Linked DNA regions of Sus scrofa. The protein of the gene in region 1 binds, or shares a complex with, the protein of each later gene. Links are inferred from orthologs where the notes say so. Each region holds a gene or a part of one and is shown on either strand. Other genes may lie near its edges.

Region 1 (4,325 bases):
ACTCAGCAACAGCCCCCACTATGGTTGGGTGGACAGTCAAACACAGAGAGAGGCATAGGAACACACCACTGTCACGCACAGACATAGCCCCACAGTCAGAATGGACCACTGTTGAGGCACAGTCATAAACACACATTGTCATATACTGTCACTGACATACCGATGGTGGAGGGGCACCCATACGAGTCACACCCATACAAGTCAGGGACACACAGTGTTACAAACACATACCAACAGCTGGACACAACTACATAATGGAATCCCACATCAGAGACCACCCCAGATTGGCATTGTCAGTCAGACCTTTATACCACCGCTGAGACACAGAGTTTCACACACACACACACACACACACACACACACACACACACACACGAAGTCAGAGATTCATATAGGTACAGGCACACACTGGTAGACACAATCACACACAGATATGTAAAGGGCTATAACAGTCACATGTGTCTTGATGGTGGGACAATCATTTATCCACAAGTTGGGGACACATGGGGTGTCATAAACACAGTCATCTACCCACTAGTGTTCAGACATGCAATCACACACACATTATTGCATGGACCATCAAAGAAATGTTGACACACCTAATCCCAGCCCCTCAGAATTCTGGGACAAATTCCACATCCTTCCACACACACAGAATGACAGACACCCAGAAGCTGATACAATCACAAGTGCACATGCAGCTACTGACACGTGGACACACAAAGTCCCACATGTACCAATGTCCACACTGACACACGTGGGGACTATCCCTGACCTACCCTCATACAGCCACACACAAACGTACACACCTTTGTTTGAGTTCTGAGAAACTACGAAAACCCATGAAAACATCCACACTCTATCGCAATCTCACACACACATACGCACACACACACAATTGTGAACATGCACACTACCCTACAGGATCCTCAACCGTCCAAGCGAGGGAGGTGGAATAAGGTATTAGTGTGAATCCCCCATAATAACAGTAGCAAACGCTTACATGGCTGTTCTGCATAGATTAACTCCATTATTCCATAAAACAAAGCCCAAAAAACAAACAAAACAAAAAACAAAAAACCTCTACGAGGTTATTATAATTGGCCATTTCAGAGGTGAGACTATTGAGGCACAGACAGGTTAAGCACTAGTCCAGACTCCAGGAGCTAGATTAGCAGTCCTTCTTCTTCCCTAACGTCAGCGCCGAATCAGCGCCTGGCACACAGTAAGCCTTCAAATGTTCGTTGAAAAAATGAGGGAATCCACATTACTTAGACCTTTAATATTTCATTCCCGTATTTCAGGTGGGCACTAGGACTGTCAGTTGAGTTCACCCGCTGCCTGAGTCCAATGTCCCAGCTCCGAAACCGCACAGTCTCTCCTTCCCGAACCAAGCTCGCTCATTCGTGGGGAGTCCAGCTTGCCTCGTTAGGGGAGGGGCCTGACTCACCACGAGGCGGGGCCAAGGTCGCTGCGCCTTTTTATTGGTGCTCCTTTCTTCGAGGCGGGACCTCTCTTAAACTGGCGCTGTTGATTTGCCGGCTCCCTGGTGGCCCGTGACCCAGAAGATCTTCGTGCAACATGGCGGCGCCCAGGGGCAAGACATAACCGGCCCGGATTCCGCGGCCGTCCGCGTGAATAGGTAGGTCCCACGCGGGGAGGCAAGCGTGAATTTATGAGCCCTGGGGCAGCCCCTTTGGGGCCAGCAGCGCGGAAGGGCGGCCCCAGGAGGATCCCGGCTGCCGGGGCCAGGGCACCGTGACCTTTTCGGGTACACGGCGGGACGTTCCGAGGAGAGCTGCCTTCTGTGTACCCGCCTCCCCACATCCCTAATCTCTAATCTTGGAGATGAGACAGCTGAGGCTCAGAAAAGTTAAAGCCGTCTCCCAAGGTCACGCCACAGGTTGGCAGCTAGGCTAAAGTTCGCTTCTTTCTCCCAAGGGCGTCAAAATCCTAGCAGCCAGCCTCAGAGCTGCTGTAGGTACACCCTGCCTAGGGGTTCAGATTTATAGAAGCTTTGTAGAAATTTAGCTCTTCTTATTCATTTGATATTTGTTGGGTACCTACTATATAGCAGGCACTATCCCAGGTGCAAAAGAGACAGCAAAAAGGAAGACAGACAAAAATCTCTGGTCTCAGGAGAGCTAGACGTTGAACAAATCAGAAGTAAATGAAACGTGACTTCAGATGCTAATTGCTAAAAATTCATTCATCAGGATGATGGGGCTTTAGATTGGGAATGGGGCAGTAGTCAGGGAAGGCGTCTCATTTGAATATAGACCTGAATAACCAGGCACAGCAATGAACTGACCTGGGGAAGGAATTTCCAAACAGGGAAAAGCAACCTCAGAGGCTCTGAGACTAGATAAAGTCAGCTTGTTTAAGAAACAGCGTAATGGGAGAGTTCCCTGTTGGTCTAGTGGTTAGGATTCAGAGCTTTCACCTCTGCAGCCTGAGTTCAACCCCTGATCTGGGAACTGAGATCCCACAACAAGCTGCTGCACACTGCAGCCAAAAATAAATAAAAATTAAATAAAATTTAAAAGAGAAATAAATGGTGTAGCTGGAGCTTCCAGTAATAACAGTTGAGTTTGGAGGGATGGAGCCTGTCTGATTTTTATCTCATGTGATGTGCAATTAGTGACTTTAGCCGGAGAACACTTTAGTTTACATTTTAAAAAAGCTCCCTATGACCACTTTAGGGAGAACTGGCTGGAGGCAGGTAAGGAAAGGAGTGTGGGTAGATGAAGAGAGGTCATGGACTGGAGTTGTGGCTTGCAGATGGAGAGAAATGGGATTGTTTGAGGTGGATCTGGATGTAGCAACATGAGCAGCTGATGAATTGGTTGGGGAAGTGAGGAACACAGTGGACTCAGAACCAGGTTTGTGGTTGATTGACTAGGAATGATGGTGTAATGACATCAGGCAAGGATGAGATGGAACAAGTTTAAGCAGGGGCATAAGTTAGGCGCAAAATAAGTTTGAGATGGCTAGGTATACACCAAAGTGGCAGTTAGGTATGGAAGCTGGAGCTCAGGGATGGTGATAACCATTGGGAACTATCAGCACATAGATCTTCATTTCTCAGACTTTAACACACATAAGAGAAATGTGGACTTTTGTTTAAATGCAGATTCTGCTTCAATAGGTCAGGGTTAGGGCTGAGATTCTGCATCCAAATAATGATGCCAATACAGCTGCTCCCTGAATAGCAAAGGTTTAGATTAAGGTCTAATCTCAGCTGGATGTTAGAGTCATTGGAGTGCTTTAAATGCTGATGCCTGGGCCCTACCTCTAGATATTCTGATACAATATATCTGGGGTATGGCCTGGGCATGTGATTCTTTAAAGCTTCCTAGATAATGCTGAAATGAACAAGGTTTGAGAACTATGAGAGCTGCCTACAGAAATACAGAGAGAACACCTCTCTTGGAAGCTGAATGATACCTTACGGTAGCAGACAGACAAGTTCAAAGTGTAGGACTCTTTGCAGCATTATTACTCAAAAGACAGCATTAAGCATCACATAGAAGTTTGTTAGATTAAAAAAGTCTTTGGCTCCACCCTAAACATTCTGAATCAGAACCTGCATTTTAACAATATTCTCAGCAATTCATCTGCACATTCAAGTCTGCAAGCACTGCACACTTTAGAGAAGGAAGCCAGTCTTTCTGATTGGCTGAGAAACAGGCCTGGGGGCTAGGAAGAAAATCAAGAGTGCCAAGGTGGGAGGAGGGCATCACCCATTCCAGATACTTCTGAGAAACTGAGCAAAATGAGGCCAGAGAAATAACCACTGGCTTTGTTAAATGTAGAACGTGCAAGGGGTCTTTACAGGAGTGGTGTCAGTGGAGTGGCTGGGACAAGAGCCAAACTGGAGACAGTGAAGAAGTAACATGTAGACCCCTCTTGGGAAAAGCTGTACTATAAATAGAGCAGAGATGTGGAACAGAGGTGGAAGGAGATGCTAGAGAAAGTTTAAAGGGTGATATGAGTGATCCAAGTATGTACCAACTTATTTTATGAGGCCAGCATTACCCTGATACCAAACCAAACAGACACAATAAGAAACAAAAACTACATCCCAATATCCCTTACCAATATGGTTGCAAAAATCCTCAACAGAATACCAGCAAACCAATTTTGGCAACATAAAAAAAGATTATATACATCATGACCAAATGGAATTTATCCCAGAAATGCAATATTGGTTTAATATTTGAAAACCAATTAATGTAATGTACTTTTCTTTTTTGGTCTCTTTGGTCTTTTTAGGGCCACACCCGCAGCATATGGAGGTTCCCAGGCTAGGGGTTGAATTGGAG
Region 2 (4,445 bases), on another chromosome or scaffold:
CCTACCTGGGATCAAAGAGGGAGAAAGGTCGACAGGGTCCAATGATATGTCAAAAGGCTTGGAAGTAAACCTAAGAGAGCACTCCGGCCAATGGGCCAATTAGAGCAGCAGTTTGTGTCCGTAATAAAGTTTTACTGGAACACAGCTGTGCTAGGTCCACATCTGGTCTATGGCTGCTTTTGGATTTAGGTTGAATAGTTACTACAGACCATATGGTCAGCAAACACGGAAGTATTTGCTATCTGGCCCTTTGCAAACAATGAACTGCTGACTTCGGCTCCAGGCCACTCTGAGTGTTTAACAACTTGCAAGTGTGCACTGATTACGGAGTCAAAAAGGGCCTGTGGAGAACTTACAACTGTGCATCATCAGTACATACAGAGCACCTGTGGCTCAGAAAAGTAAAATGATACATCTAAGGCCACACGCATTCAGTGAGGAATTCTGGAGCACACCAGTGCTACCACCCGACCCAAACGCAGCAGGGTAGAGAGAGACTGAGGCCATTTAGCGCCAGTCTCAAGTTCAAATGGCTGCTCTTCTAATGTGTGCAAAGGGTAGGTCAGGGTAAGCTTCATCACAACGGTTCATCTTGAGACCTATCCGTGCTCGTGGCAGCAAAATCTGGAAATGGAAAGCAAGTTTCCAGGAGTCCAAGAAGGTTCTCGGCAGGCAGCCTGTGGCAATCTAGGTTTCCTCTATCACCCCCTTCCACTGCAAGGCTAGAGCAGGGAGTGGCGGTGGCAGCGAATACTTACTGAGTATTATTGAGCACAGTCTACCGTATGTAAGATAACTTTCAAGAACTTAAATGATTTCATCCATTCATTCAAACATCACATGGAACAGGTAGACGCCCCATTTAAAGCCACAGATGCTGAGGCTCTGAGGTTAACTAACTTGCTCAAGTCACACAGCTGTCAAGCAGAGACTCTGCTAGGTCTGTTTGGCCTGGAAACCTATGTCTTTCATGTCAGGCTACAGGCGCAGACCACAGGTGATAGGTCTGAAGAGGGCACACAAGCTGGTAAACCCGGCTGATCCGGGATTCAAACCCAGGGGTGCTGATGAGAGTCCAGAACTGCGTTTTCCAATCAAAGTTCCTTGCTCTCAAGAGTTCCTAGCCTGTCCCTTCTCTCCGAGGACCCTGAAGTCTCGAAAAGCTGGTGAGAGCTTTCGTCTCATGACTCCAAGGAACCCAGAGTAAAGTTCAGCCCCTCCGTGGGAGGTAGGCGGTCCTTAGCCGCCCCAGGTCGCCTACCTGGACGGTCATTACACCCACCGGGGAGCCGTAGGGAGTTTTGCACCGCTTACCTGCCTGGGAGCGGTCAGAGTCCCGTCCACGTCGAAGAGGCAGAGCGCTGGGCCGGGAGCAGCCATGACCCCAGTTTCCACGTAAACCTTACACGACTTACTGGCACCTGGCACCCGGCCCGGAACTTCCGGGTCCGGCCCCCGTGCCGCAGGGCACGCCGGGAAGAGAATTCCCCTCCCGCAGTGCCCGAGACTAGCGTCGGCTTTGCTGGCTGGACTACAGATCCCAGAATGCAGCGCGCCCCCACGCTGTCCCATTAGGGCGGAGGACACGTTCTCGGAGATTCCCGGAACGCGAGGGACTCGCTTCCAGCTGCAGGCTGCGGGGCCATGGTAAGAAGGCAATTGGTGGCAAGAAAGGGAGGGGTCGTGCTTTGGGGGTCGGAGTCAGGCCCCGGGCAGGCCTGCGGACGCCTTAGGTTCTGATTCGGAGAATCCGGAGGAGGGACCTCCGACGTGGGTTCCCCGCCGTCCTATGCCCCCTAGGTCACGTGGGCCAACTAAAATTTAGCATTCACCGTGCATTACTGCATTTAAAGGCTTTAAAACTGTTACCTTCTTCAGTATGTTACGGATACCCACTTTGATAGAGAAACCAGGGCCCAGAGAGGTGGAGTAATTTGCCCAACGATCCACAGCCGGTGACTGTAGGAGCCAGGGTTGGAACCCAAAACTGGCTTCAAAGCTCAAAGCACCTTTCGGTGCAATATTCAAGGTGTAGAACTGTGCATCTAATAAAACCCTTGTGCTATGAGTTGACGCCTCCATCCCTTCCTCCTCCATTCTATCCCTTCCCTCAATCCAGGCCAAGAAAACAGCGTTTACGTTCTGCCCCCAAGATGACGCTTTTAACCTAACCGAGAATTCTACAGTTATTATGATGATTAGCTAGCGGATTTGTTCCCCACTGGGACACTGATTTAGTTTCCTGCTTGAGGAAGTGTTCACACAGGCCGTGGATCCGGTATCCAGCCAGAACCGGCCCTCCTTGGGTATGTGCTGAATGAATGAAGCCTGCGCCTACTTGAGCTGCCTGGAGGAAAGAGGTTGGGTTTGAAAGTTAGACTGCCCTACTCCCTGACTGTGTGTCTTTGGGTAAATTTCTCACCTTCTCTGGGCTTAGTTTCCTCAGTGGTAAAGTAGAAGCAGTGGTTCCTTTAGCACACAGCTTCCCTGACTATCACGTGAGGTAGAGGTAAAGCCTCTGATTTCAGCTTTCTTTCCATCTCTGGCAATCATGCTGACCTCACCAGGCTGGCAGGATCCTCTGTAGCAGATGTTTTGCATGTGGTCCTTGTGTGATTAGCTTGGCTGAGTTCCAGAGAGAAATGGTCTCCCTGTCTCCTTTCCAGGCTGCCCTGCTCCGAGCTGTGCTGTGGTCACCAAGGCAGGCTGCATGGGGAAGGCCTTTCCACAGGCTGTGGCGCTGCAGTGGGCAGGATCCTAGGAGGTGGGCGGGGAGCAGGCCTCTGCCATCCAAGAAGAACCCGCTGGGCACAGAGACTGAGAAATTTCAGATGGTGTACCGGTTTGATGCCATCAGGGTCTTCGGGTACCTCTCTCAGCTGAAGGTGGCACAGACAGCGTTGACAGTGGTGGCCCTGCCGCCTGGCATCTACTGGTACTCCCAGGGCCTCATGACCTTCAACTCCCTGTGCCTGGCAGGCGCAGTTGCCAGCTTCGCGCTGGCCATGTTGTGCTGGATGAGCCATTTCTTCCGGAGGCTGGTGGGCATCCTCTATGTGAATGAATCAGGCACGGTGCTGCGGGTGGCCCACCTGACCTTCTGGGGCCGGCGACAGGACACGTACTGCCCCGTGGCCGACGTGGTCCCCATGACAGAAAGCCACGATCGGCCTCAGGAGCTGTTTGTGCGGATCCGGCAGTACAGTGGGAAACAGACCTTCTATCTCACCCTACGCTACGGACGCATCCTGGACCGGGAGCGTTTCATGCAGGTGTTTGGGGCGCTGGACTCACTCAAGTGAAGGACTGGGAGCCAGGCCGCCTGGGTCTCCCGTAGGAAGGCTCAGGGAAGGGTGAGGCTGAAGTGGGGAAGTCAGGCAGCTGGAAACTGTCAGGACCCCAGGGACTTGTCTTCTGGAATTGAGAAATTCACAAGGTAGAAGCTAGCAACCAGGTTTAGGAAAGAGGCCCTGAGTGCAAATTCTTAACTGCACTTATGTATGACATTGACAACGGCCAGAAGTTTCTGTTAAGAGCCAGATCTTGGAGGAAGCTATGCCAGGCTCGTTCCAACAGTGCACTGCTGGGAAATCAAAGACAGAGAGGTGGGGGTGTGTCAGAAGACCTGGGTCCCTCCATTCTCAAATCCCTGTCCTGAGGCGGGTTATCAAGTCTCTCAGATTGTTCTCACATTTTGTAAAGTGGAAAAATCCTGTCTCCTGGGATGGGTGTGAAAATAAACGATATCACTTAGTGCAGAGTTGCTAGTGCTGCAAAAGGCTTCTATGCCTGTGCTGCGCCCCCTGGTGGCCCCAGATCCGAAGGGACTGGGATGAAGCCTGGAGGTGGGTCCTTGGCGCCAGCCCCTCAGGGCACAGGGTCTGGGGTGGGGGTGTCCTCCAAGCAAGTTCACATCCAGAGGTCTAGGGGCTCTCACATGGGCAGGCTCTGCAACGTGATAAAGTCAGATGAGTGATATGCTGGAGCCGTACTTTATAAACTAAAGCTAGCTATATGCAGTGCCCCTGGTAATTAGTAATATGTTTACTACATAATCTGTAACAAAGGGCAAGTCATGATCTTTATAATTCTGCCACTGAAAAGTCAAAAATCACTAGGATTTGTTTTGTGGCCTTCTAGTCTTTTTTAAGAACTGTAGTAAAACAAACATAAATGTATCCTTTCAACCATTTCAAAGTGTACAATAAGTGATATTAAGTACATTTACAGGGAGTTCCCGTCGTGGTGCAGTGGTTAACGAATCCCACTAGGAACCATGAGGTTTCGTGTTCGATCCCTGGCCTCGCTCAGTGGGTTAAGGATCTGGCGTTGCCGTGAGCTGTGGTGTAGGTCGCAGACTCGGCTCGGATCCCAAACTGCCGTGGCTCTGGTGTAGGCCGGCGGCTACAGCTCCGATTCGACCCCTAGCCTGGGAAGCTCCATAT

What was found.
Region 2: ECSIT (region 1) and TMEM186 share a complex: the UniProt entries of both Homo sapiens proteins name them as parts of the mitochondrial complex. The link is inferred for Sus scrofa from reciprocal best matches to the Homo sapiens genes ECSIT and TMEM186.

The regions. Positions count from the first base shown.
Region 1 is NC_010444.4:70,167,930-70,172,254, reverse strand, and holds the start of ECSIT (evolutionarily conserved signaling intermediate in Toll pathway, mitochondrial), read left to right. Parts: upstream 1-1,492; 5' UTR 1,493-1,642; intron 1,643-4,325.
Region 2 is NC_010445.4:33,891,003-33,895,447, forward strand, and holds the start of TMEM186 (transmembrane protein 186), read left to right. Parts: upstream 1-1,512; 5' UTR 1,513-1,644; coding exon 1,645-1,647; intron 1,648-1,677; exon of another isoform or gene 1,678-2,306; intron 2,307-2,666; coding exon 2,667-3,302; 3' UTR 3,303-4,445. Other genes in the region: PMM2 (phosphomannomutase 2), read right to left, coding at 1,315-1,380. UniProt on the Homo sapiens protein: As part of the MCIA complex, required for efficient assembly of the mitochondrial complex I.